Tamandua tetradactyla: one gene and its partner. The protein of the gene in region 1 binds, or shares a complex with, the protein of each later gene. Links are inferred from orthologs where the notes say so. Each region holds a gene or a part of one and is shown in the gene's direction. Other genes may lie near its edges. The genes, in order: EIF3I and EIF3F.

Evidence for each region.
Region 2: EIF3I (region 1) and EIF3F share a complex: the UniProt entries of both Homo sapiens proteins name them as parts of the eukaryotic translation initiation factor 3 (eIF-3) complex. The link is inferred for Tamandua tetradactyla from reciprocal best matches to the Homo sapiens genes EIF3I and EIF3F.

What each region holds. Positions count from the first base shown.
Region 1 is NC_135328.1:193,657,491-193,674,333, reverse strand, and holds the start of EIF3I (eukaryotic translation initiation factor 3 subunit I), read left to right. Parts: upstream 1-10,108; 5' UTR 10,109-10,243; coding exon 10,244-10,513; intron 10,514-10,895; coding exon 10,896-10,988; intron 10,989-12,252; coding exon 12,253-12,340; intron 12,341-12,603; coding exon 12,604-12,669; intron 12,670-13,591; coding exon 13,592-13,741; intron 13,742-13,823; coding exon 13,824-13,951; intron 13,952-15,481; coding exon 15,482-15,592; intron 15,593-15,711; coding exon 15,712-15,801; intron 15,802-16,105; coding exon 16,106-16,179; intron 16,180-16,538; exon of another isoform or gene 16,539-16,705; coding exon 16,706-16,798; exon of another isoform or gene 16,799-16,843. Other genes in the region: IQCC (IQ domain-containing protein C), read left to right, coding at 1-530; DCDC2B (doublecortin domain-containing protein 2B), read left to right, coding at 1,314-1,579, 2,508-2,559, 3,015-3,091, 3,348-3,479, 3,788-3,934, 4,036-4,240, 4,705-4,831, 5,260-5,363 and 1 more. UniProt on the Homo sapiens protein: Component of the eukaryotic translation initiation factor 3 (eIF-3) complex, which is required for several steps in the initiation of protein synthesis.
Region 2 is NC_135334.1:82,115,017-82,130,743, forward strand, and holds the start of EIF3F (eukaryotic translation initiation factor 3 subunit F), read left to right. Parts: upstream 1-7,897; 5' UTR 7,898-7,933; coding exon 7,934-8,303; intron 8,304-8,607; exon of another isoform or gene 8,608-8,687; intron 8,688-11,682; coding exon 11,683-11,753; intron 11,754-12,008; coding exon 12,009-12,088; intron 12,089-12,538; coding exon 12,539-12,676; intron 12,677-14,104; coding exon 14,105-14,196; intron 14,197-15,727. UniProt on the Homo sapiens protein: Component of the eukaryotic translation initiation factor 3 (eIF-3) complex, which is required for several steps in the initiation of protein synthesis.

The sequences.
Region 1 (16,843 bases):
ACACATCTCCAGAATGTCTAGCCACCACAGACAGAAGCACTGTTGGGGCCAAGTACAGAGAGCCATGCCACAGGAAGCCTGGACCACAGCTGCCCATATCATCAGACAGTCAGGCCACAGGGGACAGGCTCACCAAAGAGCCAGACCACAGAGGACAGCCTTTCGGGGGGAACTGCCTTCAGCTGTCAAAATTCTTGAATGACCAGGACCCTGGAGGCTTCAAACCCACAGGACTCTGTTCTGCAAAGGCCAGGACACAGCCACCTTCATGTCCTGAGGATTCAATTGTTGAGGACAAAGGGCCTGACAGCCAAAGAGGTAGACCACGAGAGTTGGGCCTCTCAGAGGACCACATTATCTGGGATGGGACCTTCTCAGGACCAGAGCATGGCAGGCTGGATTTCTGGAGAACTAAGCCACCCAAGGGTCAGACCCCCGGTGATAGAACCACCATGGATGGAAACTCCAATAAGCCTAGCTATGAAGGATGGACAAACCAGACAACTGTAGTGGAGATCAAGGCCACCTGAGAATATGTCTTCAACAGGGTCATACCATACAGGAGAGGACCACAGGAGGGACAGGCCATGGAAAACAGGACCCTGGGGCTAGGTCCTGGAGAGTCAGGGGAGGACCACTTGCCATTGAAGGGGCAGTGAATAAGACAGGACCTTATCCTAGCTCTTGGGTACCTCTGTCCCTGGCCTGTGGTTATGAGGCCAAGAGAAGCTGGAGCAAAGAGCTGGTACCAATATGGGAAGAATAGATAGAAGGACACCCTTTCTTCCTCTGCCTGTGGTTCAATTCAACTTTCAGGACAGAGTTACCTGGGGGAAGTAAAGTGTGGGGCCTGATAAGAGAATAAAGATTTTTCTTCTATTCTGAGCCTGGCTGTTTTCATCTTCTGTCATGGTCCAAGAGCAGACCTAACCACACTCAAGGAAGACCCGCCAAAGCTGATCCACTTCTGAGCTCAGTCCTTGGGAGTGGCAGGGAGGTTTTAGAGATGCCTCTTCTTCCTCAGGTATTGGGAAATCTGTAGGTAAATTTGATCTCTTGACTGTCTCTCTCCCTGTATGATTGTGGACCTCTCTCTGAGCTCCAGGGTTTCTTCTGTATATAGTGATCATATCCACCTGACTCTTGTGAGGCCTTTTCAAAGGCAAGTCAGATGAAATTTTGAAATGCTCCTGCAGAGGCTCCCCCTTCCTTCCTGGGCAAAAGGGCAGACTCCACCTCTGACTGGCACAGTTCCAAGCTTTGCCTTAGTTCCCTGGCAACAACAGCTCCGCGTCTCGGCCTGAGGATACACTATGGCGGGCAGCAGTCCAGCGGCCAAGAAGGTAGTGGTGTACAGGAATGGGGACCCCTTCTACGCAGGCCACCAACTGGTGGTGACTCAGCGCCGCTTTCGCACTCTGGAGGCCTTGCTCTGTGAGGTGACGTTGGCCGTGCAGGCTCCACTGGCTGTGCGTGCCCTCTACACACCCTGTCATGGCCACCTCGTCACTGACCTGGCAGACCTGCAGAATGGAGGGTGGTATGTGGCTGCTGGCTTTGAACCATTCCGCAAGCTCAAGTAAGTGGTGTGGGGCTGGTCAGACAAATAGCCTAGGGAGGGAAATAGCAGCAATAGCATTTATTCAGTACTTACTATGTATGCACCAGATATTTTATATATTTTTCACATTTAATACAACCCCATAAAGAGAGTGATTTTATCCTCAGTAGTTAGAAGGGAAGACAATGAAGTTAAGTAACCTAAGAGTACACAAGTAATAAATAATTGAGCTTTTGTTCAAATTGAAATCTGTCCAGTACTGATGTTTATGCCTGTGACAGCCAGGACCAATTTGTGGGAAGGAAATGTTTTCCCTGCCCACTCTCCCAGAAACTCTGGATGGGATCTGCTACCACCACCACCAAATACTCTAGGTGTAGGTGTCACCTCTTCCTTGCTGTGCGCAGGCATCTTGCACTCCTCTTAGGCTGGGATCATGGCAGGATCAGGCTGTGCCTTTTAAAATGGAAGAATTTGACCATGTGAGCTTCCAACTCAGATCTGGCTTCCAGGTCCTACTCTTCATTCTCAGCTGAAATTGCTTTCTTTAGTGCAAAGAGCAAAGGGTCGGGAGCTAGAAAGACTTAGAATCTGGGCTCTGTAACCTACTTCTTGTGTGACTGGTGTCTCATCCAAAATGGGGATAAAACCACCTACCTCATGAATAAGAAAATTCCTGTGATATAGCAGAAGTCTATGAGTCTTTCTCAACCCTTTGATTGTATGCTTTGTATCTAAGATTCCAGTCTAGATTCCTAGCCTCACCAGGGCCCCAAGGAAGACAGGTTCATATGCCAGCATCTGTTTCTGGACTGAGATGACAGAGGCTATTCCACTGGTGTGGAGGGATACTGGTGTCTTGAGTCCCAGTCCCACACTTGAACAGCTGCATGGCTATTGAGGCCCAGAACCCCCAAGATGACCTATGACCTATCTGTTCTTTCAGCTATTTAACCCCTGGAGGGAAGGATCCAGGTGGGAAGAGCAGCCGACTACCAGTGAGTTCTGAGGAAGGCTGTCACCCAGCTCCTCTGTCTTCCCCCCCTTCCTGGGATTGTCCCCAGTTGGTCAGGGTAGTCAGGGCCCTGGGAACAGCAGGACTGACCAGTTCCCTGGTGGGCATTCCCTTGCCCACTCTGGAGCCAGCTGTTATCTTTCCTGTGGGACAGAATTCCTTGCTTCTTACCAAGCCTTTTACCTTATCCCCAGGCTGTAGTCCCCAAAAGAAACAGAAGACCATTCATTCAATATGGAGGTGGGTAGGAAGTGAATTGACTTAGGGGAAGTAGAAGCACCCTTTGGTGAAAGGTGTGACTAGTCCTCATCCCTACTTACCAGCCCCCGCCCCCCACCACAGTGTGGTTCCTTCCTCCTTCAACCCACCCACCTTGGATTGATTCACCTAACGAGAGGCACCAACTCTCTTGACCTTGGGAACTGACTTGGATTTCAGGGTCCTCCAGTGACTCACCACCTGTGTGATGGGGCCCTTGGAAGGTGGCTGCCTGCAGGTGCCCCCTGCTATATCCAGTGAGTTCTCTGGTCAGGGAGCAGGGATATTTGTTTTAGTAAGACCAAGAAAATGGGGGTGAGTTTGCCCTAGGAGCCTCTGGTCACTGGGTGGGAATGTGAAAAGTCCAAAATGCTTGATGGGTGCAAATGGACCAATGCAGTGATCTCCTAGCCCCTGTGCCATCCTTTTTCCTCTTATACCCTGGGAGTCCTGGGGCCATGGATAAACAGACCCTAGGGACCCTCCCCCCTAACCAGGCTGCTTTTGTCTCAGTGTGTTCAGGAATGGGGATCTGTTAAGCCCCCCATTTAGCCTGAAGCTATCCTGGGCTGCCAGCCAGGACTGGGAAATAGTGTTGAAGCACCTGACTGAAAAGGCCAAGTTGCCCAGTGGGGCTGTACGCAAGTGAGTATGGGGACTGGGGAGGTCCAAAGGTCCCACAGGGAAGCGTCCTCACAGGTTTGGGCCGTCCCCCGAGGATGAAATGGCAAAAGGAAAGCATGCTGTCCCAAATGGCACTTCCCTCTACACCAGGGTAAAGCCCTCCGGCCTAGCCCTTGGAATCAGAGCCAAGCCTTGGTGACTGGCCTTGATGCCCAGAGGGCCAGCACCCAGAGGGTACCTAGGAATAGCTGGACCCACCCCTTCAGTCTGCTGAATATGATGAGGCATCTTGTCCACTGGCCCTTGTCCCACTCTCTTTTCTCTCCTAGACTCTTCACCTTGGAGGGGTTCCCGCTGTCAGCAGGGGAAGCTCTGGTGAGTGGCTGTTACTATGTGGCTGTTGGAGAGGATGAGTTTAAGGCCCTGCCCTATCTGGAGCTGCTGGTGCCCAACCCCTCACTGCCCAGGGGCTGCTGGTATGTCTGCATGAAGCTGAGGGGTACCAGGTTGGAGCAGAGGAAGGCAGCCTCTGATCTGTGTGCTCTCAGAATCATGTCTTCCTCTTCTTTCATTGCAGGCATTCCCAGGCCCTGAAGTCTATTTGCCACAGGCAGGAAGTAGGTGATGTGGGGGCTCTGGGGGTGGGACAAGGGGAGCAACTAGCTGAGTCCTCCAGCTCAAGCTCTGACTTTATATCACTGCATCTTCTCAATAATCTTGTGGAACAGATTATCCCCATATTCCAGAGGAAGAAACCAACTCAAAAATGTGAAGTGATTGTTACTTAGGATAACAGTTATTGAGTGTCTGAGAATCTGGTCTGAGAGCCAGCTCATCAAGGCCATATGAAGGTCTTCAGGCCTCTGAGTTGCTGGACCAATTCCTTCTTGCCAGGCTGGATGCTAGGAAAAAACTGGCATATCTGCAATGGCAGGCTCCAAGGAAGCTTATTGGCACCACATCTGATCCCAGGCCTGAGCCCTCCTAAAAAATGAGCCAGTGAGCAGGAGGGAGAAATGGGCGGGTGGTGGCAGCTTCCTCCAGCATTTCTAAGTGCCAGGCATCAGCTGTTCTGCCTCTCAATATGGTAGCCTGATGGGAAGAGTGAGCAGGAAAGGAGGATGCAGGCATCACTGCTCCCAAATTCCCAGAGGTGTCAGAGGCACTTTGAAGGAGGTCGAGATTGGGTAAGAGGGAAGGTAAGAACAGCCAGTACCCATGGCCCAAGCCCAGTGTCCCTCTATAGGCTCGTGGCCACAGAGCACAGGCTACCCAACCCTCTACAAAGGAGCCGAGCCGAGTTGAGCCATCTGCCTTCTATGCCAGGCCCCAGCAGCCAAGAAGCAAGTTTCCTGCTCTCTCATTTCTATCAGGTGAGGGGCCCCTGGGGCCGGCCCAGGCCCTTCTCAGCTATACTCTGATGTGACATGGGACAATCACTGCTGTTGTGGGGGAGATTGATGGGGGTGGCATCCTGGGGACAGCTGACTCTGACCTCAGAACTGTCTCTGACTCCATCTTCATATCCAGTCCTTTGCCTCTTCACAGGGACTTGGGGCATATGACAAGAAGCACATGGAGAGGAAAATGCTTAACTCAAAGGGTTAAAACTTCAGGCAAAATTTGGAAGGGATGGGGATGTGGGCCAAAGACCCTCCTCTAAACATCCCTCCCATCTTGAGGTAGTGAGAAGTGTGAAGAAAGGCTCAGAGGAGGGGAAGGGGTTGGCACAGAAGGTCAAGGGGAAGAAGGCTGGGGGCCCCTTAGCCTGGACATCAGCTGATGCTGCCTTCCTTATTAGGAGACAAGGAAGTCTCTGAGGCTCCCCATCTAAGGACAAAGACAGCAGGGGCCCAGGAAGCAGCTGATGAAGAACACACCTGGACAGAGAGACCCTTGGATCAGGTGGGCTGCGGTTCAAGGCAGTATGTTGGGATGGGAGGAGTTTTGAGCTGGAAACTGGGGGCCCTGGACTCCAGGAACAGTTATTCCCCTTTATAACTCTCCCAACATCTCAGAGTCCGACTTGTTACATGAGGGGACAGATCCTGATTTCTCAAAGTCTCTTCCTTTCCTGGGGCCAAGGAACTCCCTGCTGAGGGCTGGAGCTGGCCAGCGGATGCTAAGAGTTCCATTCCATATATCTCCAGAGGTCAGCACACATACTGAAAGAGGCACTGTTCCTGGGAAACGCTCCACCTGGAGCTGGAGCAGCATCAGTCCCTGCTCCATCATCTTGAAAACCAGCAATTCCAACCAGGACCTGAGGACCAGTACTCTGCAGCCACCTTTTGTCCTCAGCCTCCAGAAGCCTGTTTCCAAGGAGCCTGTCTCTTAGCTCACAGGTTAGCCCATGGCCTTCTCAAACCTTCCCCACTGTTCTGCATTTAAGCCCACAACCCAGTCTCCCCTTCTTCTCTGAGCAGAACAGTCCTGACTGCGAGGCTACTTCCTTTTGGGGTTCTCTGGCCAGAGAAAGGAAAGCAGACTGAGATTGAGGGAGAGGTTACAAACTTGGAAGTGGGCTTCCACAATAAAATAATACTAACCTTTGTCTGTTTACCACAGATTTATTGAAGGCTACTACTCGCTAGGTATTATGCTGTGTGCTGCAGTTGGACAGTGCCAGGGCTCACAGTTGTCTACCCATTTGAAAGAGGCTGGGTATTTGAGGATTCTCACTCACTTCATGGGTGGGACATGTAAGGTTGGTCAACAGTTCGTCTCCCCTAACCTGCCACTTCTGGTGGACCTTCTTCCCCTCAATTCCACCCCTTCAGTCAGCTAAGTCACTCTGTGCCTTTGAGGCCTCCTGTTTGCATTTCTGGCTCAAAGACTGCAGGTGGAGTCCTGAGGTTCATGGAGCCCACTGCTGTGATGGCCCAGATCAGGCCATAGTAATGGTGGCTAGGCTGGGGGCTGAGATGAACGCTGGACCAGAAAGGTTGCTGAGGGTAAGGTGAAGTTTCTTGTGCTAAATCTCAGCAGCTGAACAGCACCTGAAGGTTACAAAACCCTTTCACTCAGGTTCTCTTATTGTGATCCACGAGGTAGGTGTTATCCCCATATAAGATGAGGAAGCTTAGGTTCAGAGAGGGGAAGTGCTAGATGCGTTTGCTCACTGCCCTGCATGTCATGGCCTAGGAGCTTCCTGGAGTCAGCAGACCTGAAGGGTGGGCTCTTCTCACTCAAAGGGTAGTCAGTTGTCCCTGGGTCTTGCTCACTGAGCTTGTGATGCAGAGTGTAATTCCTGTCACGGTGAGCACCATGCCTGTGACTGCTCCTGGGATAAGGGGCAGAAATAGAGGGCCTGAGCCCAGCCATGCCAAAAGAAGCTGGTCCAGGGCTTAAGGCAGAGCTCAGGTAGGGTCTTCTTCCAACTCCCCACCCCCAATCTCTAACTCTAACCCAGACTGTCCAGGGGAAGGAAACTCTGTTGGCCACAAGGAAGCATGAGAGAACTGGAGGATGGACAGCGAGAGGAAGGGGCAGGATGAGGAAGCCTTCTCCCCACCCATCCATGGGAGAGAGGCTCTGGATAGTAACTAACCCAGTTATATCAAGGCCTAAATAGCTACTTGCAGCAATCAAGTGGCCCAACTTACGTTTTCCACCAATATCTTCTCCAAGGATCTTCCCGACAATCAGCGTGAAGACAATGGCCAGAGAGTTACACACGGGCACTGCTAGTGTCAGATCTGGGTAGGTAGAATGAAGAATCCCTGAGATGTAAAAAAATGCCTTTCTAGGCACAAAACAGTTTCATTTCATCAAGACGGCCTTTCATTTTTTAGGTGAAGTCACGGCAAAATATAGGACTCACCCAGATCTTCTGACTCCAAGCTTAGTGCTCCCTCAGGATTCTGAGATGAAGACCTGATCCCCAAGGTCTGGGACCATCCTGGTTTGATGGCAGACAGACAGATACCCAAAGTCCAAGGCATGCAGTGGAATGAGTGCAATAAGGCCAAACACAGCCACCGTTTATTAGGCTCAAACTATATGCTGGGTGCTCTGTATGCCTTATCTCACTTAATTCTTACAACCACACTGCAGGGAAAGGATTATCACTAATTTGCATAGGGAAAGGAAACAAAGTTCAAAGAAGTCATATACACTGAGGCAAATTGAGGATTTAAACCAAGCTAAACCAAGGTATGCCTTAGTCCAAAGCCTGTGTCCTTATTGAACTGTATGGATATGGACAAATCAAAACACCTGGGGAAGCACACTTTTGTTTCAGTTTCAGCCCACGCATGGGCCTTAATGGAGTTGAAGAAAAGACAAAAAAGGTGTTACAAGTGGAAGGCCAGGTACCTATTCAAGACAGCCCCAGAAAGTAGGCCTCATCTTAGTCCAGGATCTGTTTCTTAGTTTTGAAGCTTCAAAGAACTGATTCCTGATTAACAAACTCGAAAAAGACTAGTAGATAAATCAGAGGCTGAGTTACTTGTTTTACAACAAGACTCATATTACTAGGCAGACTAGGATACTCAGGTTGGCTTCTCACTACATTTCTGCCCGGCATTCTAGGCCTTACCTGCTTTAGGGAGAAGAGGAACTTGGAACTCATCTGCCCTCATTCCCTGTCCAGCCCCTGGTGTGGCTGGCATTATCCATCCATAAAACTGCCCCAACACTCCTACTTAGAGCTGCTTTCTTAAGTTTGCATACCTTACAAGACATACTGTGCTTGCTAGACTCTGGAGTTGGGGGAGAGGAACAGCAGGGTGCCATGGAAGAGCCAGGGCATTGGAGAGAGGCAGACATAGGTTTCCCTATGTAATACTGGTTGGGTCATTCAAATACCGAGCCTCAGTTTCCTCACATGTAAAATAGTGATAGCAAGATATCATTTCCTTTGTAGGGTTGTTGTAAATGAAATAGAGTAACATATGGTTCCTGGCCCATGGAGATGCTTCGTTAGTAATGACCACGGTTCTGAGTATTAGAAAGTATGTTGTTAAAGGATGGAGGTAGAGCAGGTGATGAAGATTCCAGGATCATAAAACTGCCATTTGCTCACAACTTGGTAAATGGTTAATCACAGTCAGCTCACCAGAGGATTCAGCATTCTTGGACAGCAGGGAGTGTATTAGGCCAGAGATTTTCAAACTTTATTTAAAGGGAATCTTATGAGAAGCCGAAAATATAAAACATATGAAAGCAGAGTGACTCTAGCTGAATCTTAGATGACAGATCTAGAGGCTGGCTATCCCCTTGCCCTCCCATGGCCTTCGATGGGTTCCCCAGAGCTACAGGGAGCAAAGACTTCCCTCAATCACATAGAGGCTTGAATGAGACTCCTGGACAGGCGAAATCACAGCAGGGAACTTCTCATAGCAAAGTTCAAGACTATAAACTTATAAATTAATATATGGCTTCAGAGCCATGTGCACTGTTATGCTATGGGACTTAAGAAAGATGAAATCAGTTGCCCCAAATTTTGTAACCTCATCCCCTGAATGCAGAAAATCATGTCTGTTTCACAGTCATGATGGGAATTAAACAAGTTTATATTTATTGAGCTCCTACTGTGTGCCAAATGCTTCTCATACCTTATTGACTTTGAATCGTCACCATGCTATCAAGCAGACTATATAAAACCAAGGCTCTTGCTCAAGGCCATTCCAGTAGCACACAGTGGAAGTAAAAGTGTCAAAGCCAGTACTTGGTACAGCAAGATGAACCTTTCTACTCTGCAGCAGCTCAAGATGGCCAGGCTTCAAACCAACTGTAATGCTGGCAGCATATACATAACCAGCCCACTGTGCCATACTGCTCAGAGAACAGGGGGCAAAGAGAGAACCAGAGAGAGTAGACTCTCCCTCACTGATGGAAACAAAGTATTTCAAGGTCCCTCCCCAAAATGACTCAAGCTAGAGACCTACCTGTTGATGCCAAGGTGAAGTAGTAAAGAAGGGAGCCACACTGGTTGAGGAGAAAAGGCCTCAGGTACTGGAAACGGGAAAGTTGCATTCAGTGTGGTTGCTAGGCTGAGTAGCACTTCTCACTTTAAGCTTCTAGCATCTGTTTGCCTTTTCTTAGAGGGAGAAGTGGTTAGAAGGGCCTCGGAAGCAACAAAGTCCACTGAGAAGGACTTTTTCAGGGCAAAGAGGGAAACAGTTACTGACTGAACTCCATCCCTTTATCCTGTAATGCCCTCTCCCTCAGTTCTGTTAGTTCCCATCCTCTCCATACTGTTCACCCCTTCCAGGAAGCCTTCCAAGTCCTCTAGCCCCATCCTCCCACTTCTGAAGACACAAAGCATTTTATCTGTACCTCTCTCATAATCTTTAGCCCTGAAAAGTAGTTTTGTTCATGTTTTGGTCTTTCCCACTAGCCTAGATTGGCAGCCTTGGAGTCAGAAGTAGTGATCCATACCCCTCCCCATCTTCCCTGCAGGGGGCCAATTTGAGCTCCAAGCCCTCCCTCTGGAAAGGTCTGTTGGAGAGATCACAACAAAGGCAGCCACGGACTGAGTACTTCTTATGTACTAGATTCAGTGCTAAGTGCTCTGTGTACCTCACCTCACTTAATCCTCACAACTGCCTGGTAAGGTGGTTACTATTATTATCCCTATTTTACAGATAATGAAATATAGGCTCACAGAGGACAAGTGACACATACAAATGCATCTAGCATGTAATTTTGACTCAGACCTGTCTGACTCCAGAGACCATTCTGAGCGCAACTTCCGAGAGAGGGGCCCTTCACGGACATACCTCAGTATTGAGGAAGAGGGTCTTCATCTCCTGCAGCAATTGCTGGGCCCAGGAGCGTTCATGAACCCGCTGCAGGCCGGCGGAGGCCCGCTTCAGCAGCGGCTGAGTGCCACCCCACAGAGCAGCCACCAGCACCAGAGCCAGCACCTGCCCTGGATGAAGGTTCAAGTCACCCTGCTCTGCCCTCCCCGGCCGGCCGCCTGCCCGCCGGGCCTGGACCTCCCTTGGCCTCCCATCCCGGCCCGGCCCTCTCCTGGCCCACCCTTATCCCCGCCCAGCCTGGCCACATCCTTCCTTCTCGCATTCCTACGCCTCGGTTGCGACTGGCGGGTACGTCAGCTCTGGGGAGGCCGGAGACGTCAGTCCAGGGGCCTGGGTCCCGGAGTTATAGCAGGGGAAAGGACTGGGCAGTGGAGGTGGGTAGGAAATATACTCCGGTTGGAGTCGGGAAGTCAATGGAGGGACGGAGCGAGCTACCCACCTAGAGACGCCGCCATGGCAACGCCTCTGTCTTCTACTTCCGGGAAGGAGGGGCGGAGACCTATAGTCCGGAAGTGGCGTTATAACTCTTCCGGTCCTGCTCACTTTGTTCCTTTTCTCGCGTTGCCGCTGTGATGGTGAGCCCCCCTAAAGGGGGGTTGTTGGAGTGGACGTCCCGGGCTGGGACAGGGGCCCGATTGCGGGCCCTGACACTCCCGTCCTGTTTCCACAGAAGCCGATCCTGCTGCAGGGCCATGAGCGGTCCATTACGCAGATCAAGTACAACCGCGAGGGAGACCTACTCTTCACCGTGGCCAAGGACCCTGTGAGCGTGGCTCGGAAGGCGGGCGGGACCATGCGGAGGGGGTCTGTGACGGGACGAGTCCACTCGGCCAAGGCTGTGGGGTGGACTAGCCAGTTTTGCCGCGAGTGGGGAAACAAAAGAGTGCATCGTTCTGAGAATTAGGGAGAGACTATCTCGGGCGTAGGTGGGTGAGAGCAGTCTGCCCGAGAAGATGGGAGATTAACTTCATCGTTGGTGGAAGGAGGAGTGTAGCCGGCGGTGAGTGGAGGGGCTGGAGAAGCAAGAATTGTGGGAGGGGAGCAAGGGTCAGCTCGGGTTTTAGAGAACAGAAGCATTATACCAGGATAAGGGACAGACTATCCCTAGTAGGGAAAAGTTGATCCTTGGGTAACGAGGGAAACAGGATTTAATAGCGGTGTCCCTAGTCATCCCTCTTTCTTTCACTCCTATTTCAGTCAGTTCTTCTCTGCCCCAGCCTGCACCCTCTGCGTGCCAACAGTCCCACATGGTACTACTCTTCCAAACACCTCCATACGGAGAAAGTTAACTATGGTGTTTAAAAGCGGGAGCTCTGAAGCCAAACCGACGTGATTTGAATCTTGACTCCATCTATTAGCAATGTGGCTTTGAGCATGCCATTTGACCTTTCTAAACTTCAGGTTTCCATTTGTATAAAATATTGGTATCATAGGACATCTTTTAAGGGATTATCTTTAGGATCTTAGCACACTACCTGGAGTATGTGAGTGCTTAATTAATGTCAGTCATTTATATTTTAAACTTCTTAGACATTTTACTGGAGCTTCTGAACTACCCTTTGAAGGAGGCATTTTACAGATGGGAAAACAATTTCAGAGGGGAGAAGGGCTACATTTGAGATAGTACGGTGAGATAGTGGCAGAGCAGGTACTGAATCTCCAGTTTCCCTCCCACCAACTCTCCTATTTGGACAGAACACCAAAGCAAGTGTTTTTCTGCTTTGAAGCTTAGCTTGGACTTTTACTCTTCCAGGGGTTTGGGAAGGGGAAGGCAAGAGTCTAAGGGGAGGGCTGGGACAGTAGCAAAAAAGGATGCTTTTGCAAGCCTCCTGAACCTCTGCTTCTTACCTGAAGGGAGGAGAATACAGGACATAGTCTTTTTACTAGCTCCCTGCTATTTCCCAAGAGTTGAGCAGGAGAGAGCAGAATCTGGCTTGGGCTAGAGGCTGCTGAGATTCCTGGGGCAAAATAGGAGATTGTTCTGCTCTGCTTGGAATGTGTAGTATCCTGTCATTTGATTCCTCCAGATTGTCAATGTATGGTATTCCGTGAACGGTGAGAGGCTGGGCACCTACACAGGCCACACTGGAGCTGTGTGGTGTGTGGATGCTGATTGTATCCTTGTTTTGCTCTGACTCTGTGGTCCCACATTCTGCCAGCAATGGAAAGGCTGCTAAAGGGGGGTTTGGGGATCCTCCCTCTTGTTTCCTCTTCCCTGATTGGAAAAATATTTGGGACAAGTTCCAGGTCTGAATGGGGAGGTGAGAATTCTCTGGGGTAGGCGGGAATAGAAAGGCTGAAAGGGATGTGATTCAGTTGGCATTGTAAACGACAAGGGTTCAGGTGAACTTGGCCATGTTTCTTAACACTCTTTTCAGGGGACACCAAACATGTCCTTACCGGTTCTGCTGACAATAGCTGTCGTCTCTGGGATTGTGAAACAGGTAAGCCTTGGTTGCTAACTTTTTCAGCAAACATTTAAGCGAACAGATTCTGGGGAAAAGGAGATAAATCCAGAGACTTTCCCAGTCTAGGGAACAATGAGAGATAGATGAGGAAATAAGAACTGCAGAAGAGAAAAGAGACATCCTTGTAAGATAAAAGCCATGTTAGAGGAAGTATAGAGTACTGTGGGAGGACAGGGACAACTGACTACCTGGAGTCACATAGAAACAGCTGGGAAAGGCTTCCTAAGGTAAATGTCATGAGCTGGGGCTTGGAGGATGAGAAAAGTTGTCACTTTGGCACATGCAAAAAATAAGACTTGGTGAGCCATCTGATTTGGCTGGAGTTCCTGCTTCTTGGAGGGTGAGATAGATGGACAGTGGAGAAGATGAGGCTGCTGAGGTAGGCCAGGGCCAGAACAGAACTTGATGGCCACACTCAGGAGCTTAGCCTTGCTTTGTAGGCCTTGGCAGCCTCAGAGGTCTCTGAGCAGTGGAAAATGGTAGTCCATATACTTTTAGCTAGTTCAGTTAGCAGTGGGGAGCATGCATTGGAAGGGCTGAGACTGAACACAGGGAAGGCTATTAAGCTGTTCTATTTAGTAAATATTTACTGGGCACCCAATTATATACCAGGTTTATGGGTACTGGAGACATGCAGAGAAGTTAAACCAGGTCTTTGCTGTGGAAGAATGCTGTCTGAAAAATCCACCCTGAGCCGTGCCATATTAGTTAGATATCTGAAGAGGGATTACAGGGAAGAAGTTAAAAGATTTTAGCCAAAGTGACAGTGAGGAAGAGGAGAGGTCTGGGTTGGAGTTACTGGAGCAGAAGAAGCCATGGGAGTGAGGAGCAGGTATAGGAAATGTACTCCCGGCCATGGCAGTGGGGAGGTGGTAACCCAGACATTGCCTATCCCCAGGGAAGCAGCTGGCCCTACTCAAGACCAACTCAGCTGTCCGGACCTGTGGCTTTGACTTTGGGGGCAACATTATCATGTTCTCCACGGACAAGCAGATGGGCTACCAGTGCTTTGTGAGCTTCTTTGACCTACGGGATCCGAGCCAGATCGGTGAGAGCTGAAGCTAGGGCTGGGGTTGAGATGGAAGGTATGGGTCCACAGCCCAGGGCCTAACATATGCTGCTCCACACAGACAGCAATGAGCCCTACATGAAGATCCCTTGTAACGACTCCAAGATCACCAGTGCTGTCTGGGGGCCCCTGGGGGAATGCATCATTGCAGGCCACGAGAGCGGAGAGCTCAACCAGTACAGTGCCAAGGTAAGGAGCCATGTAGGGCTTGAGCCCACCAGAATGATTCTTTACAGAAGCAAGGACAGTGCAGTGGTTAAGAGTAAGGGCTGGATTCAAACATAGATTTTACCACTTTCTAGCTGCATGGTCTGGGGCAAGTTACATTACTTCCCTGAGCCTGTTTAAAGATCAAATGACATTAAGTGTTTAAATAATTTGTCACAGGGTATTCAGAACATACTAGTAATGATCACAGATAAGCATTTTCCTGCCACCACTGAGTGCCTGGTTCTGTGCAGGGCTTTAAGCTCACAGATATGAATCAGACATGATCTTTGCCCCAGGGGGAGATGTACTCTTAAACAAGTAGCTTCTGATTCGGATGCCTGAATTTCTGGAGCTCCCAGAACATAATAACTTAGGTTTCTCAGCAAGTACTGATTGTGGCCCAAGAGGAGGCAAGCCTACCCTCAGGAACGCTAGGGAAACCAAGGACAAAGACAAGAAGGAAATAGTGGAGCTGATCTGTGCCCCTGATAGGACTGACTGCAAAGCTCTTGTTCATTTCTTGAAATGTGGAGTATGGTATCTCCCTACCATGTGACCCAAATTGTCTGAGGAGACAAAAGTACCTTCTTCTCACAAAATAGGTAAAAATAGTTAAGGAAAGGAAATTTTTGTGAGGGCCTGCTATGTGTGAGGTGCAGTGCTCAGGCCTCGTAGACCTCAAAGTGTCTACAGAGCATATGCCAGGTGCCTGCCACGACAAAGTCAAATAAGACACAGCTTCAGTATCCTGGGAGGTGGGGTTTTATTGGTCTTCTTTTGAGATAGAGGTGGCAGAGAAGTACTTTCAAAGACCGTACAGCTGATTCCAAAACTCTGCTCTTTATACTACCCAGTCTAGCAGGTTGTTTAGTGGCAAGGGAAGTCAGGAAGTAAAATGGCCTTTTGAGGAAACCTAGAAATGATGGACACACAACAGTCCCCTGTGGAGCGACCAGGACTGAGCCCTTGGCTGGGAAGGGGGTATGAGCTTAGGTTCCTTGCCTCTTTCTAAATGGGTGGTCTCCAGAAAGTCATGCCTCTTCTCTGAACCTTGGTTTCTTTCTCTTAAAATTGGGATGGTAATACCCACCTCAGGGGATCTTTGAGGATTAATTGAAGGGGTGTATTGTTAAGTCTTTGACACAGTGCTTGGCAAATAGTGGCTGTTCAGTAAATATTTGTTGAAAGAAGGAATAAATGGAAACTGCTCTACCATTATAAGTAATGATGGTTCATTAATGGATCCATAGATTTGTGACCATGAATATGTTTTCCCTGATACTTATAGATGTCCTAGCAGTGTTTGTGAAACTCACACTTGTGGGCCATGCTAGATGTAGTCTTGCCCTGGCGGAGGGAGTAAATATTGATTCAGGGGATACGTAGGCAGTCACCCCAGACCCCCTCACCCCTTGATGGGACAAGAAGTAGAATAAAAGAGCCTTGGCTGAACAGCAGGGCAGGTGAGTGTTGGGGCTGGTTAGAACCTCCCTTTTTCCCCTTCCCCAGTCTGGAGAGGTATTGGTGAATGTTAAGGAGCACTCTCGGCAGATCAATGACATCCAGTTATCCAGGGACATGACCATGTTTGTCACTGCATCCAAGGACAACACAGCCAAGGTGAGACTGGGGAAGGGGTTGGGGGGCTACTCCCACTCTCCTACTGCACAGCTCCAACCTGCCTGACTTCCCTCAAGAAGGCACCTTTTCCAGATTTCTGCCCTGCCTTCTCTTTCCAGCTCTTTGACTCCACAACCCTTGATCATCAGAAGACTTTCCGGACAGAACGTCCCGTCAACTCAGCTGCCCTCTCTCCCAACTATGACCACGTAAGGAAACTCCACCCACACATCTTGCTTAAGCTTCAGAAAACTTCCTGGATCTAGACATTTGTCTGGCAGTTAAGCTACAAACCCTGAGGGGACTGGTGTCAGGCAGAAGAGGTTCCCAGAGCAGTGGCAGAGCTGAAGGATTGAGTAGCAGGTGGGCAGGAGGTGGCTGGAGTGTCTCTTAGTCCCGTTCACTTCCTGTCCTTTGACATGGGAGATGTTAAAGCTGATGGAGGGAAATAAACAGTAAAAGGGCGTAGTTGCCCTTTCTTTGGGCCTATCTACAGTTTCTTCTTTCCTTCAGGTGGTACTTGGTGGTGGTCAGGAAGCCATGGATGTAACCACAACCTCCACCAGGATTGGCAAGTTTGAGGCCAGGTAAGAGAAGAGGGAGTGCTTTCAAATTGAAACCTAACACAAACCATATGAATGAACAAACTTCCCTTATTTCATTAGCTGCTAAGAAATGCAGCCAAACCTGTGGCTGTTCTGTAATAAGTGTATAATGTACCAGATTCGAGCATGAACTCTCAGCTTTCCTCTGAGGCCGCAGACACATCATTATAATTCTCTGTGCCCAGATTTCCTTGTCTGTAAAATGGGGGCAGTGATAATACTAATACTTACCTCATAAAATTACACAGATTAAATAAACAGGTGAGTACTTACTATGCTCTTAGAGCACTGCCTAACACATAGTAAGCACTCAGTAAGTGTTATCCAGGCAGGCATTTGGGTCTAGTTTTCCCCTGGTTTCATTTTATTTTGTTCACATACATTTCCCCTTGTCTTGATTTTCCCATTTTACTTTTTGTTACATAGTGTGCATTTGAGGAGCACTGTGTTTTAGAAGAGATGGAAAATGAATTAAGTGTGTCCCTTCCCTTCACCCTCTCTCCCCCAGATTCTTCCACTTGGCCTTCGAAGAAGAGTTTGGAAGAGTCAAGGGTCACTTTGGACCTATCAACAGTGTTGCCTTCCATCCTGATGGCAAGAGGTAGGGCCCTAGCTAAGGGAGCTGAGCTCAGCTGGGCCATGTCTC
Region 2 (15,727 bases), on another chromosome or scaffold:
AAGCCAAGGGCCAGGACCCAGCAGCCAGCCCCAGACCACCACAGTCTTCTGGGGGAAAGCATCACCTTGATGACGCCTTGATTTTGGACTTCAAGCCTTAAAACCATGAGCCAAGACATTCTCTTTGTTTAAGCCAATCCATTGCATGGAATTAAACAGCCAGCTATGTGTATATATATTTTTAAATTTAATTTTATACATTATATATATATATATATTTGAAATAAAACTATAATTTTTAAGCAAGTAAATAATAAACCCAAAATTCAAAGAGTAGTTTTTTCTGAGAGTGAGCAGTATGGCAGTGAAATTTGAAGGAGGACATAGGTAAATGTAAAGCAGTGATGCAGGAGCCAACTCCAATTGTTAAATTTTCAGGAATTTTGAAAGCCAGTGGTTAAACTACTGGTAGCTTGAAATCAACTATGGAAACTGGCAAACACTAACACCCAGGACTGCCAACCCCCTTCTTCCCCTTCAGAGAGCTGGTTGTTAAACATTTTGTAGCATAGTACTAGATGTAAGTTATTGATAGTGTTCTAATTCTTGGTTTTGATAGCAGGTTCTGTTCATTATATTATTTTTTAAATGAATGAGTGAATGAATAAATAAATGGATGAATGAATGAAAAGAAGTTCATGAGTTGACCAAAGAAGGCAGTGTGTCATGGACCAAGAAGTATAATTTGTACAATTCTATACACCTGTGTTGAGGAAAGGTGACGCGAAAGAGTCCTAAATTCCCTCCATCCTCCAATATTCCCCAGTATTGATATTGGGTATCAAAAGAGACATCACTAATGACTATGGACCATGTACACAACCTACCAGGTTCCAGGAATGAGAAGAAAGGTCGAACCACCTCCATGCATGCAATTGTCCTTGGCTCCCTCACTGGGAAAGCGTCTCAAAGGGGCAAGACCCTACCTCGGCATAAAGTCAAGGGAGTTGGCCAGGCCCATTGCTGCTAGGGAGCCTGGAGAGGCAGAGTCTTGGATGGCTGAAGTTAGCAAATCAGAGAAGGAAGCTGCACTAGTCATCAAAACAGCAGGGAGTGAGGAAGGGCCAGCTGCAAGTGTAAGAATTTAGATGTAAACCAACTAGGAGAAGGAAGTCCCAAGCCAGCAGCGCAAGCACGAGACTGGTCTTGAAGAGCCTAAAGAGAGACAGGTCAGGTTAAGCTGGACTGTGCAACAGCACTTCTCATCACCTCAGTGTGAAAGTGCCTCCAGGCAGGGCCTTTAATTGTGCTGAACTGTGGTGTACGAGAGGAGTAGGGCTAGTGGAACCTGCCTCTGTAGTGAAGTAGAAATTCTCCAAGTATTTGGTTCATGGCTTCCTGAAAACTGCTGGTGGTGGGCAGAGAAAAATTCTGGGAGTGAGCCCTCCATCCTGCCTGTGCTGGGTACAGTCTTCAGAAGAGGTGGGGGCGGGGGGAGGGGCGGGCTTTAAGATGTGGTTCCTGCCCAGCTCTGCAAGAGGGAAACTTAGTCCCAAGTCTCACTTGCTGAAAAGTTTAGAGAGCCTGGGGCCCCCCCCTTGTGGTCCTCCTATAATTTGAGCTGTAGTTGGGGCTCCCTTCACCTCAGTGAGTGAGTGATGGGGAGGTGAGAAGAATTTATCAAGCTACAGGCCCCACCTTTAGTTGGAGCCTGGTAGTTGTTACCCTGGGTTTTTTCAGGCAGGCCCATCGAGCAAATCCCCTACAGCAGCCAGGAACCCTGAATAATACCTGCATAAGCCACTTCCCATTTACAAGGGGAATGGCCCACTTTCTCCCTCCCCATACCTTTTTCCCTTTCCCTGATGAACCTAGGGCCCTGCCTGAGTTTCTCTTTGCTGGGTGCAGCAGCCTGTCTGGAACCCTCAGTCAGCCTTTGCGAAGCGAGCATCTCGTGTGTATGCATTCCCTTGTCCTGAACAATCAGCTTCCCTGGGAAGACCACAAGAAAAATCTCTCTCCTAGGCTAATCTCTCTAGGCTGTTGTGCCTAGAGAAAAAAAAAATCACAAAGGTTGGCCAGTCGGATCTCAGACAACTTGGACTCATCTGGGCCTTCCCATAATTGATCAGTGCTTCTGACAGCTCTTGATGGCTCACTCTCAAGCCCTCTTCCCAACATGGCCCATTCTACTCAAGTCTAAACTCTGCCCCTGCATTGCCATGCTCAGCAGATTACCATGGCTCCACTTACCAAGGGTAAGTGGTGTCATCTGACCTGAGCTCCTGAAACTTCCTGCTCTGCACAATTCAAAATTTGTCCTATTCTTCATCCATCCCCCTCTCCTTCCCTTCCAGAGAAAGGGCTTTAGGTTATTCATATAAAGACAAAGCTGAGCTTTTTGAAAGTAAAGTATCCACATCCAAGTCAGAGCAACACATGGACAGGAGCTGTGCAAGGTCCGTTTAGGGCAGCAATCCCTTCTCATTTGGGTAGCTCTTTCCTCTGACCTTCTTCCCATAGGTTGACCTCAGGAGATCAGCCTTGGCTCAGGCAGACCCCATTTGACCCTGTAAGGGGGCCACAGCCCAGGGCAGCTTTTCCAGCATGCCCCTCATCCTGTGCAAGACCACCCCTCTCATTTAGGTTTCTTGATCCAGGCCCTCCTTCTGGCCTTATTTCATTAGATGTTTCTTCTCGCTCTCACTCGTATGCTCAGTCTTTCTCCTCTAGATCCTTAACCTCAATTTAAAATATACTCAAAACACTTCCATCCTAAATTACCCCCCTTTCAATACTCCCTTTTCCCTGGCTACTGCTTTAAATGTCCCCTTTCCTTCCCAGGCAGCTTCCTTGAAAGAATAGCCTGCAGTTAATACCTTCACTTCAAACTGATTGTTCTCTCACACCTGAATTCTGGTTTCTGTGCCCACTCTACCTCCTAATTTCACTGACACTGCTCTACCAGTGTTGCTAAAGCCTCTGGATCATCAAATCCAAGGGCCGCTAGTCAAGTCCTCTGATAGTTGACCTCGTTGAACACCTGCTTCATCTTGAATCTTGTCCTTCCCTTGACTTCAGGGAGACTCTTAATTTCTCATCTTTCCTATCATCTCTCAGACAGTCCTTGCCTTTCCTTAACTCTTTTTGTTTTTATTGGGGTAATAAGTAAACCATAAAATTTTCCATTTTAATCATTTTTATTATGAAATATAACATATATACAAAAAGCAATAAATAAAGTTTGGTATGGGTTACAGTTCCACGATTTTTCATTTTTTCTTCTAGCTGCTCCAAGACACTGGAGACCAACAGAAATATCAATATAATGATTCATATTCATTTGTTAAATCCTATCTTCACTTTTATACTCCTCCTTCTCTTTAACTAACATACATTCATAAAAGCAATAAATTTCTAAGTACATCACAGCAATTAGTTGTAGAACAGATTTAGGAGTTTGGTATGGGCCACTAATTCCACAATTTTAGGTTTTTATTTCTTAGCTGCTGTAAGGTACTGGAGGCTAAAAGAAACATCAGTATAATGATTCAGCACTCATACTTGTTTGTTAAACCCAAACCATTTTAATTATTTTTAAGTATACAATTCATTGACATTAATCATATTTACAATATTTTGCTACTATCGTCATCATCCATTACCAAACTTTGTCATCACCCAAAAGAGAAACTCCATACCCTTTAAATAATAACCCCCCAGTCTCCCTCCACCCAGTCCCTGGTAACCTCTGATCTGTTTTCTGTCTCTATGAATTTGCTTATTCTTGACATGCCATAGAAGTGGAATCATTCAGTATTTGTCCTTTGTGTCTCAGTTATTTCACTTAGCATAATGTTTTCATGGTTCATCCATATTGTAGCATGTATCCATAGATAATTCCTTTTATGGCTAAATAATATTCCATTGTATGTGTATACAACGTTTTATTCATCCATTCATCTGTGGATAGACACTTGCATTGTTTCCACCTTTTGCCTGTCATAGATAATGTTACATGAACACTACTGTAAAGTATCTGTTTAAGTACCTGCTTTAAATGCTTTGGGGTATATACCAAGAAATGAAATTTCCAGGTCATGTAGTAAATCTAAATTTAACTCTTTTGAGGAACCACCAAACTGTCCTCCATGGTGGCTGCGCATTCCCATCAGCAATGCACAAAGGTTCCAATTTCTCCACATCCTCACACTTATTTTTCATGTTTTAAACTAATAATCACCCTAGTGTGTGTGGAGTGGTTCTCCTTAGCTATTTAAATGTTAGCATGTTCTAGGAGTCTTTTACTTTTCCTCCTAGAATCTCCCTCTTGGAAGGCTTACCAATTCCATGATTTTAACTCATTTCTAAGCGGATGACATACTGCTTCAAATAGTATGGCTGTGCAACAAGTCATCCCCAAACTTAGTGGCTTAAAACAATGACACACATATATTTTGCTCATGAATCTACAGTTTGGAGGCTGAGCAGAGATCGTTTGTCTCTGTTCTGATCCATATCTGCTGGGGCAGCTTCAAGCTGGGACTGGGAATTGGAAGGCTCACTCAGGCATAATTGTGGTGGTTGATGCTGGCTCTTGGATAACATCTCAGCTGGTGCTGTCACCCAGAGCTCCTACAGGAAGCCTCTTCATATGGCTTGGGCTTCCTCACAGCATGGTGACTGAGTTCCTAAAACGAATGTCCCAAGAGAGGAAACCAGGTGGAAGCTGTAACCTTTTTTAAACCTAGTTTGAGTCATATAAAATCACTTTCACCTTACTCTCTTGGTGAAAACCCGTCACAAGCCCCTGCCCAAATTCAACAGAAGTGTCTTAGTTTCTTAGAACAACTGTAACAAGGTACTACAAACTGGTTGACTTAAAAGAAGAAAAATGTATTGCCTCACAGTTCTGGGGGCTAGAAGTCTGAAATGTGAGGTGGAGAATCCTTCCTTAACTCTTCCTGGCTTCTGGTGCTTTGCTGGCAATTCATGGGCTTAAATCTCTGCCTCAGTTGTCACATGCCATTCCCCCTGTAGTATGTCTGTCTTATAAATGCATCAGTCATAAGAATTAAAGGCCCACCCTACTCCAATATCACCGCATTTTAACTTGCCTAATTCCATTTGTAATGACCTTATTTCTAGATAATGTCACATTTTGAGGTACTGGGGAATAGGAGTTCAACATAGCTTTTTGGAGGATGCAATTCAACCAGTAACAGGAAGGGAACAAAGACACCACCTCTCAGAAGGAAGAGTATTCAGATTTGGAAAAGTAACTGGCATTGCAAATAGTGTAGTGATCATTTCTGGAAAACACAGTCTGCCACATGTACAAGTCTATGTCATCAACACTGCTTTCTCCTAAATTCTGATCCTACATTACCAGTTTCCACCCAAATATTTTCATCAGAAGTTTCATCCCAACGTCATCTCCAAACTTAAATGTTCAACATTAACTTCATTCTTGCATTATCTGCTAAAGTAGGAGCTCTTTGATGGCAAGAACCATGTGGAATTAACCTATATACCCCTAATTTTGGTCTAAGTCCTGATATAGTGGGTGCTAAGTCAATATTTTCTGAAGGAAGGGATTTTCTCCAATAAACCTACTCTTCCCACGTTTTTCCCATTTAGGATAATGACCCCATCATTTTCCATGTCTCCCAGGCACGGAAACTTTTGACTCCTTCTCTCTATTCAATCAGATATCAAATTCGGTCAATCTTGCCTCCAAAATATCTTTCAAACTAGTCATACTCTTCTAAATCACAGCTGAAATTGCCATAGTTAAGGTCAGCAATATCTCCCCCTTGGCTACACTCCTTGCTGTACAAAGTACTGAGTGTTAGAAATGCAGAAACTTGGGTTCCACCCCAGACTTACTGAATAAGAATTTGCATTTTAGGCATATTATAATTTGAGAACCATCGTTAACAGTTTCCCCTACCTCTATCAAATGAATCTCACATTCAATGTATATCAGAACCACCTGGAGAGCTATATAGCCCACAGGAGCCCAATCTCTTGGAGTAAGAGCCTGGACCTGTGTATGGTTATCAAGTTCCACAGATGACTGTAATAAGAGACAAAGTTTAGGCACCATTTATCTAGTCACTAGTCTAGTCCACACCAATTAAATAAGCGTATTTGGAGGTTGAGCCCCAGCAATTTACCAGACAGCAGACCTAAGTATACAAGGACAACTAGAGAACCTTTCCAAAGTTTAAGTAAAGCGAAAATGTGACTTTATGAGGAAGCTTGCCTGGTTTTATTTCATTCTATTTCATCTTTATCTTCGACATTTTAGTACTGTCGGAACCAGAGGCCAGCCGTTCCACCTGTATTTGAGGGAATTAAAGAACCAAAGCACTGACGGGGGATTGTAGCAATCCTAATATTGAAAGGGAACTCCAAGATGAAAGCAGGTCCTGGCCAGAATAGTCAGGACTAAGAAGTCCATCCTCACCCACTCACCTTGCCAGTTCCCCTAACTTTATTAAGGTAGGTGATAGGATTCCTTTCAGGCAGATGTTATTATTCCCATTATACCAGGAAGGAAACCAAGGCTCAGAAAAAAATCATAGATTTCCCAAAGTCACACAGCAAGGATCAGAGCTCCTTCCATCATATAGTAATGATAACAGGAACTCCCTAATAATAAGTACTGTATATCAGGGATGTGCTAAGAGCTTTATGAAGCATTATCTCATTTAATCTTCTCCCAAAGCGTTGACTTGGACATCTAATGGACATCTCAACGGTGACACATCCAAAAATGAACTCAGGATTAATTTTTACTCCATTCATAGCTCTCACTATTTCAACTGATGGTGACTTCTTCCTACTAGTTCCTCAGCACAAAAACTTTCACACCTCACGTAAAATTTCTCAGAAAATTCTGTTGAAGCCACCCTCCATCCTCAAAATATATGCAGAAGATGGCCACATCTCGCCATTTACACTGCCCTAGTCCCAGACGCTATCATCGCCTAGTTACCTAGTAGCCTCCAAACAGGTCTCCCTGCTCCTCCTCGCCCACCTTCCTCTGTTCCCTCAGTATATCCTTATCGAAGTAGCCAGAGTGATCCTTCTAAAACTAAGACTGATCATGCATAACCCTTCCTTGCTCAAAACCCTGCCATGGTTCCCCACCACACTCAGACTAAAAGTCTAGGTATTTACTGTGGCCCACCAAGTCCTTAATGATCTGCCTCTACCCTCTGCTCAGAGGTTCACCTCCTGCGGCTGTCCCCCATGACCTTAACAACAAATGGCCTCCTTATACACGCCCTGCCCACGCCTGCTTACCGCCTTTGCCCCAGCTGTTTCCTCTACCTGGATGGCTCCTTCGTTAGATACTGGTTACCTCCCTCACCTCCTTCAAGTCTTCATTCGAATCTCATATTCTCATTATAATTTACCCTGCCCTCTCCAATCCTGATTTGCCCTCACCTTCCTCTACTTTTTCCTTTCACAGGACTTGTCACCTTCTAACATTATATGGTTTACTTATTGTCTTTTCCCACTCGAATGTAAGCCCTTCAAGGACAAGGATCTTTGTTCTGTTCACTTACATAGCCCAAGCGCATAAAAGAGCACCTGCCTCATATTAGGCACATGAATTTTGAATGAAGCCACTTATATACCCATTTTCCATTTAAATTCGTGAAAATACAAATGGTGAGCATTCGGTCGCGCTCTGGCGCCATCTGGCGACACCTACGCAGACTCAGTTGTTTCTCTTGACCCAGCGCTCTCCCAAGTTTCTTCGGAACTATTTAGCTTAGTTCTCACCGCGTGCGCATCGGACGGAAAGCAAATGAGCACGCACTCCGGAAGAAATCATAAACACCAGGAAATTTTAGTGCTTCGTGGACAGCATCAGGAGCCAATAGGCACAAAGATCTCGCTCACGTGATCCATATTCAGCCTATCGAGGTCCTAATTTTCTACAACGCAGTCCTTTCCTGTCTCTTTTCTCAACAAGATGGCCACGCCGGCTGCACCCGGGAGTTCTCCGCCTGCCACTCCACCTCCGGCGCCGGCTACTACCCCGGCACCAACCCCATCTGCAGCTTCGGCTCCCGCTGCGGCTCCGGCTCTAGCTCCAGCATCGGTCCCGGCCCCATCATCCGATCCGGCGGCGGCAGCAGCTACGACCACAGCCACGGGGCAGACCCCGGGCTCAACGCAAGCCCCGGCGCAGACTGCCGCGCCCGCGTTGCCTGGTCCGGCCCTCCCGGGGCCTTTCCCTGGCGGCCGCGTGGTCAGGCTGCACCCGGTCATTTTGGCCTCCATCGTGGACAGCTACGAGCGTCGCAACGAGGGCGCGGCCCGAGTTATCGGGACCTTGCTGGGTGAGTGATGAGAGGAAATTGAGATTGAATTCAATTTCTCTTGTCTACCACCGCCTATTTATCTCGCCCCCACTCAATTAACCCTTTTATCCCTGATGTCCTGCCTTCTTCATTCCCTGGCCTCTTGCCTCCCCCTCTTCTCACTACAATGACTTGACCTTTTGCTTCTCCGACCCACCTTTTTTCTGCTACTTATCTTCCCAGAGAGTTTGACTCTCTTTCCTGCCGGCTTGCTGTCACTTTGGGCGACAAATAATGAGTAGTTATCACTTACTGAATAAATATTGTGGGGCAGGTGGCTTACATTTTAACTGTCCAACAGTATTTCACTTCAGGTCTGATTAGCTCCAGTCTACCAGAAATGAGTTCAGTTGCCGATTCTAGGAAGCGGCTAGCTTGGAACTAGAACCCTGAGCGTAGTGACCGCGTTCTTCCGCCTTCCGGTAAATGTCTCTATCTTCTAGGTGTATACAAAGGAGTTGGCAAAAGAGCTGGACGTCTTTAAAAAGAGATCTGTCCCAACAAGTTAACCAATTTGGCTGGAATCCGTTTAAGATTTTATACTATTCTGCTTTCCTAAACTTCTGAGCTTGATCCTGTGTTCCTAAATTTCCAATAATACTAGTTCCTGAAGTGGTAGACCCTGTATCCCCGGTGCTGCCTTTAATCCTCCATTTGGACACAGACAGTTTTATTATTTGTGGGATGTTCGGCTTGAATCTTAAAACTGAAGAAGAATCTTTTCCCTGTCCATGTTTCACTTTTATTTGGGGAATAGGTATTTTTCTTTAAAGTAGTTTTAAAGAAGCGAAAAGCACCAAAGGGCAGAGAGGGATTGTTAATAATAAATCCTTTTCTCTGGGCCCCTCAGATACATTTCCACTCCATCTAGTTGTGCGTTTTAGACATCTTTGTGTGTCCACACCCCCATCTCATGGATCATTTCTTTTTCTTACTCTTAGACATGTCCTTACACTCTAGAAGATAATTGGTGTATTACAAATAGGACAAAATTTATAACTAGACTCCACATATTAGCCATGTGCCTTGGGGAAAATTACCTAGCTTTTTTCAGTGGCTACTTCAGACTTAGTCTTTCTGAGAACTAAATTATTACAGAAGTCACCTAACAGTGCTGGCACACATTAGATATGAAGCAGCAGTTAGTTACTGTCTTCTACCTGGTCAGGCCTATACGCATTCTCTTTTTCTCTCTCTCTCTCTTTGAGGGTACAACGATTGTATTTACAGGAACTACTTGATCCGTTACCTGTCAAACATTGCCATGACTTTTCTTAATCTAAGCTTCTGCATTCTATTTGCCACAAATGTCTTCCCTGTTCTGCCTCATCTTTTTTCTTTTTCTTTTTTATATTTCTTTATTTTGAGTGCCACCCATCTTCGAGGTTCCTAGGGAAAATGTCCAGTATCAATCCTCCATCCTATACCCCACCCTCATCTCAGTAGTAATCCCACTGAGTCTCATAGCATTCTGGAACTGTACCCTGCTCTATAACAAATGATTTTTCCATCACTGACTTGACACTTGACAGATACTTACTCTTTTAGCTATATTGTAAAATTTTCAGAACTCAATAGCGAATAGTTCTCCACCCAAGATTTATGCTTAGTGTCTCATATATTACAGTGACCCTAATTAGACCAGCTGTAATCTAGATTCTCAGATCCTATTTCAACCTGGGATTATAGGTATAGTACTATGTGTTACAGGAATAATGCTTATTGATAATTGACGCATAGATTCTGCCTGCTAGAAACTTACGGTTTTCTCAGGTAGGTTGTAAATAATGCATGAAACATATTTCATTTCGTTAAATGAAGTCACCTATGCTTCTTAAATACCAGAAACTGTTAGATACTTAGAATTTAAAATTGAGAAAATAAACCTTATACACGAGATGGAGATACTCTTATATATAAGTAATTAGAATATAATGTGATTATATATAAGTAATTAGAATATAATTTGATAAATGTTCCAGTAGAAAGGTATTCAAAGTGACGTGGAAGTCCATAAAACTATTTTGGAAGTTTGGGGAAAGCATCACAAAAAAGATGACATTTGAGCTGGGCATTAAAGCAGATGCAGGAAGTATAAAAAGTTCCACTAGCTGAGTGGTTCAGCATTAGAGGAATATAGAAGAAAAGATATACGACAGGAAATGAAGCTAGTGAGGTGTAGAGTCATAAGAGATATTAAATAATTACAAGTGTGCAAAGTGCTGTGAAGAAGGTTAGGAAATTATGGAAAGACAAAATGGCACCCTCATTAGGTTTGGGGGTACGTGGGGGAAGAACACCTTAACTGTGGCATTTCAGCTAAGACTAAATAGGAATTGATGATTCTGCCTGCTGTTTGTAGAGTGGATAACAGAGAAATAGGTTATTTGTGGACACCAGATAGAAGCTATTTTAATAATTTGGAAGTGGGGATGGAGAGGAGTGAGTGAGTTGATAGGACATGGTATGAATCAGAAATGAGGGATTAAAAAGAAAGTTTCAAGGATGACTTCTAGGTCTCTGATTGGGTGTGGAAGAGATGGGGGGAAATGTAAGGGTTGATTCAGTTTGGAACTTTTTGCAATGCTCATCAAGTATCCAGGTGCATCTGTCAAGTCAAAAGTTTAATATGTAGATCTGGAGTGTAAAAGAGAGATGTGGGTAAATATGTAGTTTCAGAAATTGTGTCATTGGGATATAGAAACCATAAAAATGATTGAAATCACCTACTGCAGGACAAACTTGTACTGTAAAAGGCCAGACAGTAAGTATTTTAAGCTTTGTGGGCAATAAGTCTCTGTTGAAAATATTCAGCTCTGCCTTTGGAGTAGGAAAACAGCCATAGACAATACATAAACGATTGGGCATAGCTGCATTCCAATAAAACTTTATTATAAAAATGGGTGACAGGGCCTGACCTGGAGTAAGAGTACAGAATGAAAATATAGGCGAACTAGGATAGAAGTGGGCTTCTGTATGGATAGTTTTATGCACACCATAAAATTCTCCCAGATAGCTCTGTAGGTGAAATTACAGGGAAAAGTTTGGAGACTGAAAAATCAAGGTCATTTAGTAAAAGTCTGGAGTAGAGCTGGTAACAGAAAGTAATAGGCAAAGGAGACCTTGTAGAAGAAAAATATATTCCATTTCGTGGTGGATAAAGGAAAGAGTTGGAGGTTACTGCAGGATTTTAGTTTTCTGAAGAATTCTGATTCCACTGATACCCATGGCTTAATTTGGAACTAGCAAGTTCAGTTTGATATTTACTAAAAAAACCTCTGAAAGCATTTCCAGAGTGGTTGGAAACTGTTTGGAGCCTTGGGATTATATAATGCATGGATGATTCTTTCTTTCATAGGAACTGTAGACAAACACTCTGTGGAAGTCACCAATTGCTTTTCAGTGCCACACAATGAGTCAGAAGATGAGGTGAGTGGAACTTTGAGTGGGACCATCTTCCCCCACCCCCAGTCTCTGGCTGTTCATCTGCTGGATTCCCCGTAAGGCCTCTTTCTGCATACTATGTTGTGCTCATAACTTGAACTCCTACAGCCCGAGAAGCTTTGTTGCATTTGGGTTTATTTCCAGGGCTTTATTTTTGTTGAGGGTGACCTTTTGTGCTTTTTATCCATTTTCTCTAAGGACCTCTGGCATCTTAGCTTCCTTTCCTCTCTTCCTTCTTAGGTGGCTGTTGACATGGAATTTGCTAAGAACATGTATGAATTACACAAGAAAGTTTCTCCAAATGAGCTCATCCTGGGCTGGTAAGTCAGGAAAGGGGAAAATGGAAAGTCTCCTGGTAATTGCCAAGGTCTCCTGCCATCAGACTAGGTATTATTATACTTCTGCTTTTAGAGACACAGTATTGGAATATCTCATCTCAAGGAACTGTAAATTCAGTGTGTTTTGCTGGCAGTTCTGATCTTGTGCGACCAAAAACACTTTGAATTACAACTTTTACTGAGCAAGTCTTGTTGCCTTTCCAAAGAGTCAGAATTTTTTAAAAGCTCTAAATCAGTTTCTGATCCAGTGTAGTTTTCAGTGTGAGTAGAAAATAGTAGCGTTTATAGCACTATTATTTTTAGTGTATAGAGTGTTGCTATCATAGGGTATCAGGTACCCAGAGACACCACCACCACCACCAGTTTGAAATTGATATCATGTTTAGACCTAAGTCCATTTGTTGACCTCCGTGATTATGTTCCATTTTCCAGGTACGCTACAGGCCATGACATCACAGAGCACTCCGTGCTGATTCATGAGTACTACAGCCGGGAGGCCCCCAACCCCATTCACCTCACTGTGGACACGAGCCTCCAGAATGGCCGCATGAGCATCAAGGCCTATGTCAGGTGACCACAGAATCTTGGGCCACAAGGGCATAAAAGGCTATCTAGCTTAGCTCCCACACCATGCATGGATAACAGTTGCCTCCCCCCAACCAAGTTTAATTCCTTCAGTGCATAACTCACTGATTTCTGAAGAAGCCTTTTCTTTGTCTCTCAGTAATCATCATTGGAAAGTTTCACTTGGAAACAAAATCTTTCCCTGTAATTTCCATTCACTGATCCCGGTTCTACCCTAGGTTTCTACTCATTAGTGTTAACCAATTTCAAATGGCAGACCTTTAGATATTTGAGGAAGCTAACATGTTTCTCTTGGGAAAAAGTTTAGAGACTGAAAAATCAAGGTCATTTAGTAAAAGTCTAGAGTAGAGCTGGTAACAAATAATAGGCATTAGTGTTAACCAATATCTACAATTTCAAAGCTAAATAGCCACAATTCTTACAGCCAGTCCTCATATGATATTCTTTTTGTGGTCCTTCACCACATTCATGGCTTTCCTGAGTTAACCTTTTCATCTGTCCTTACCCTGGAAGTGAACACAGTACTCAGAGTAGTACAGATTTAAGAAAGATTGTCCTTATTTTGAATATATCTATTAACACAGAATTGAGTGACATTAACATTATAGTGATGACACATTGAGCTTGCAGTTAAAACTCCTATTGGTGGAGGATGTTGAGAAAAGCGCTGGTACCATGCTAAAGAATTTGGAGGATCATATCTTTGGTTAGAATGAAAGCATTTGTTGGTACATCTCTTACCCTGTTTAACAGTGTGCTGTTTCTGTTTCTGACACTGGTATAGACAGCTACTATGCAGTAAGACAAAGAGGATGGTTGCCAAGTCCTTATGGTCCAGTTGGCTGTACCTCTAATCTCTGGCCATGGCCTGATTTCTTTTCTCATCTTTTCCAAATATTTTAGATTCCAAGATCCAGTTGAAAATATATTGTTAACTTTGTAAAGATAGTCCTGTTCAGTGAGATTACTTATAGCACCCAATCTGGTGTTGCTGGGCAGGAATCAATATGTTTTTTCAGTATGTAAGTTAAGATACTGATAAACAGTCCTCAGTCCTAGAAAAGCCATGACCGAGTCTCTTCTTTCCATGAGGTTGGGCGTATAGATAGTCATCTCCATGGCAAAATCCTTTGTGCTTTCCTCCTCCTCGCAGAGATTGTACAGGTTTAAAAGATATCAGGCCGTGTTGAAAGCTGAGTCCCTTCTCACAGGCTAAGGGGTTTAATGTATGGAATGAGGTAAGGGGAGAAAGTGACTTTTGCTCCAGTGAGACCTCTCGAGTTCACATGGTCCCAACCTTCCTGTCTGAGAACCTTGGAGGCCACACTTGCTGTAACTCCTTTCCCAGCCCAGACTAGACATGGAAACCCTTTCCCGAGGCTATCTGTTGACCTTTACCTGCTCTCTCCCCAGCACTTTAATGGGCGTTCCTGGGAGGACCATGGGGGTGATGTTCACACCTCTGACAGTGAGATACGCATATTATGACACTGAACGCATTGGAGGTGAGTCACCTTCCTGTACCCTCGTTTTTTCAGGGGAAATCTGTAACAGAGATGGATCCTTGGGTGGGTAAAAGAGGGCAAGCAGTATAATGATTACTGACCTTTTGAGATTGTGGGGGTAGAAAGGCCTAGCAGTGCCTGTCTCTTGAAAGTAAAACATCTTGTTATCTCTAAATGAAGCATCTAAGTCTTACTTTTATTATTCTCTGCAAGTGTTTTCTGCTTTTTGCCTATTACCTTGGATCTAGGCAATGAGAATAGATCATTGACAGGAACTGCTGTTTCCCTGCCCTCCAATCCTTCATCTCCCTTCTTCTCTGCTCGTACCTCCAGACCTTTAATGTTTACCTCCAGCCCTAAAATCTACGTGGTGTTCCACTGTGCCTCAGTGATGAGAGACTTGCTTGCCCACAAACTGACAAACCCTATTAGTTATTAATTAGTTCACTTGGTGTGCAGTCACATTATTCATATTTTCATTGGTCACTTTCTTATGGTTTTCACTTCTTTCCTGAGAAGATACTAGAATATTTATTTTCTTCATTGTATCTTCCTCTTAGGGGTGACGTCATGAAAACAAGTTAATTTCTCAGATGCTCATCTTTTAGTAGATTGAGGTTTTATAGTAGTTAGATAGTAGTTGATGGTCCCAACTTCACTACATCTTTTTTCTGCCAGTGTTATGACCTTGCTCAGAGAGAATTGGTTTTATCCTGTATTGTGGCAAGTTCTTTACTCTGAAGTTAAAATAAGATGATTTTCAAGAGTACAACATGCAGTCTGTGCTTAGTAAACATCATTGTTGTTCCTGATTAGTATTATAGAGTGTTTACTTCAGATCTGTTTCCTATATACTGTGCTAGTGCTGAAGTTCTTGTCTGTCTGGAGCCATTGGTCTGCCATTATCTTTTGTGATGGGTTTGTCAAAATATTTGCTATTAAATTGATCATTTTAAATACTCAAATTTGCAAATCCTATCCTTTTGTCACAGTTAGTTATATTTCCTTCTTGTGTAGATGTGATAGAGGGCTTTTTCTCTCTCCTTTTCAGAGTTTAGTTTAAATATTCATATTAGCAATTCTCCTAACAGGTGCCTTTTTCCCAATCCTTTTAAGACTCTCAGTGTATTATATTAGTGTGATCAAGTCTTACGTGAGCATGACTCACACTGGGCCTTCATACTAGTGATTATCCTCTGGATTGAATGGATGCTATATTCCTGGGGCAAGATCAGGGAGAGCAAACTAGCTCTGTGTTTAAGTTGGTTATAGTCAACCTTGACTATATATCAGAGGCTTCTGTGGAACTTTTGCTTAATATGGGTAACAGAGTCCCACTGCAGAAATTTTGATTTTGTAGTCTGGAATGGAACCCAAAAAGTGTACTTCATTATTTTGTTTGTTTAACTTGTGAATGATCCTGATGCTTAGTCAGGATTAGGAACCATTGATCTAAGATCTGTGATGACTGGAAGTCAGTCATTTCCCTATATAAATGAGATACAAGGAAATTATTTGGGAAGTTGTTGGA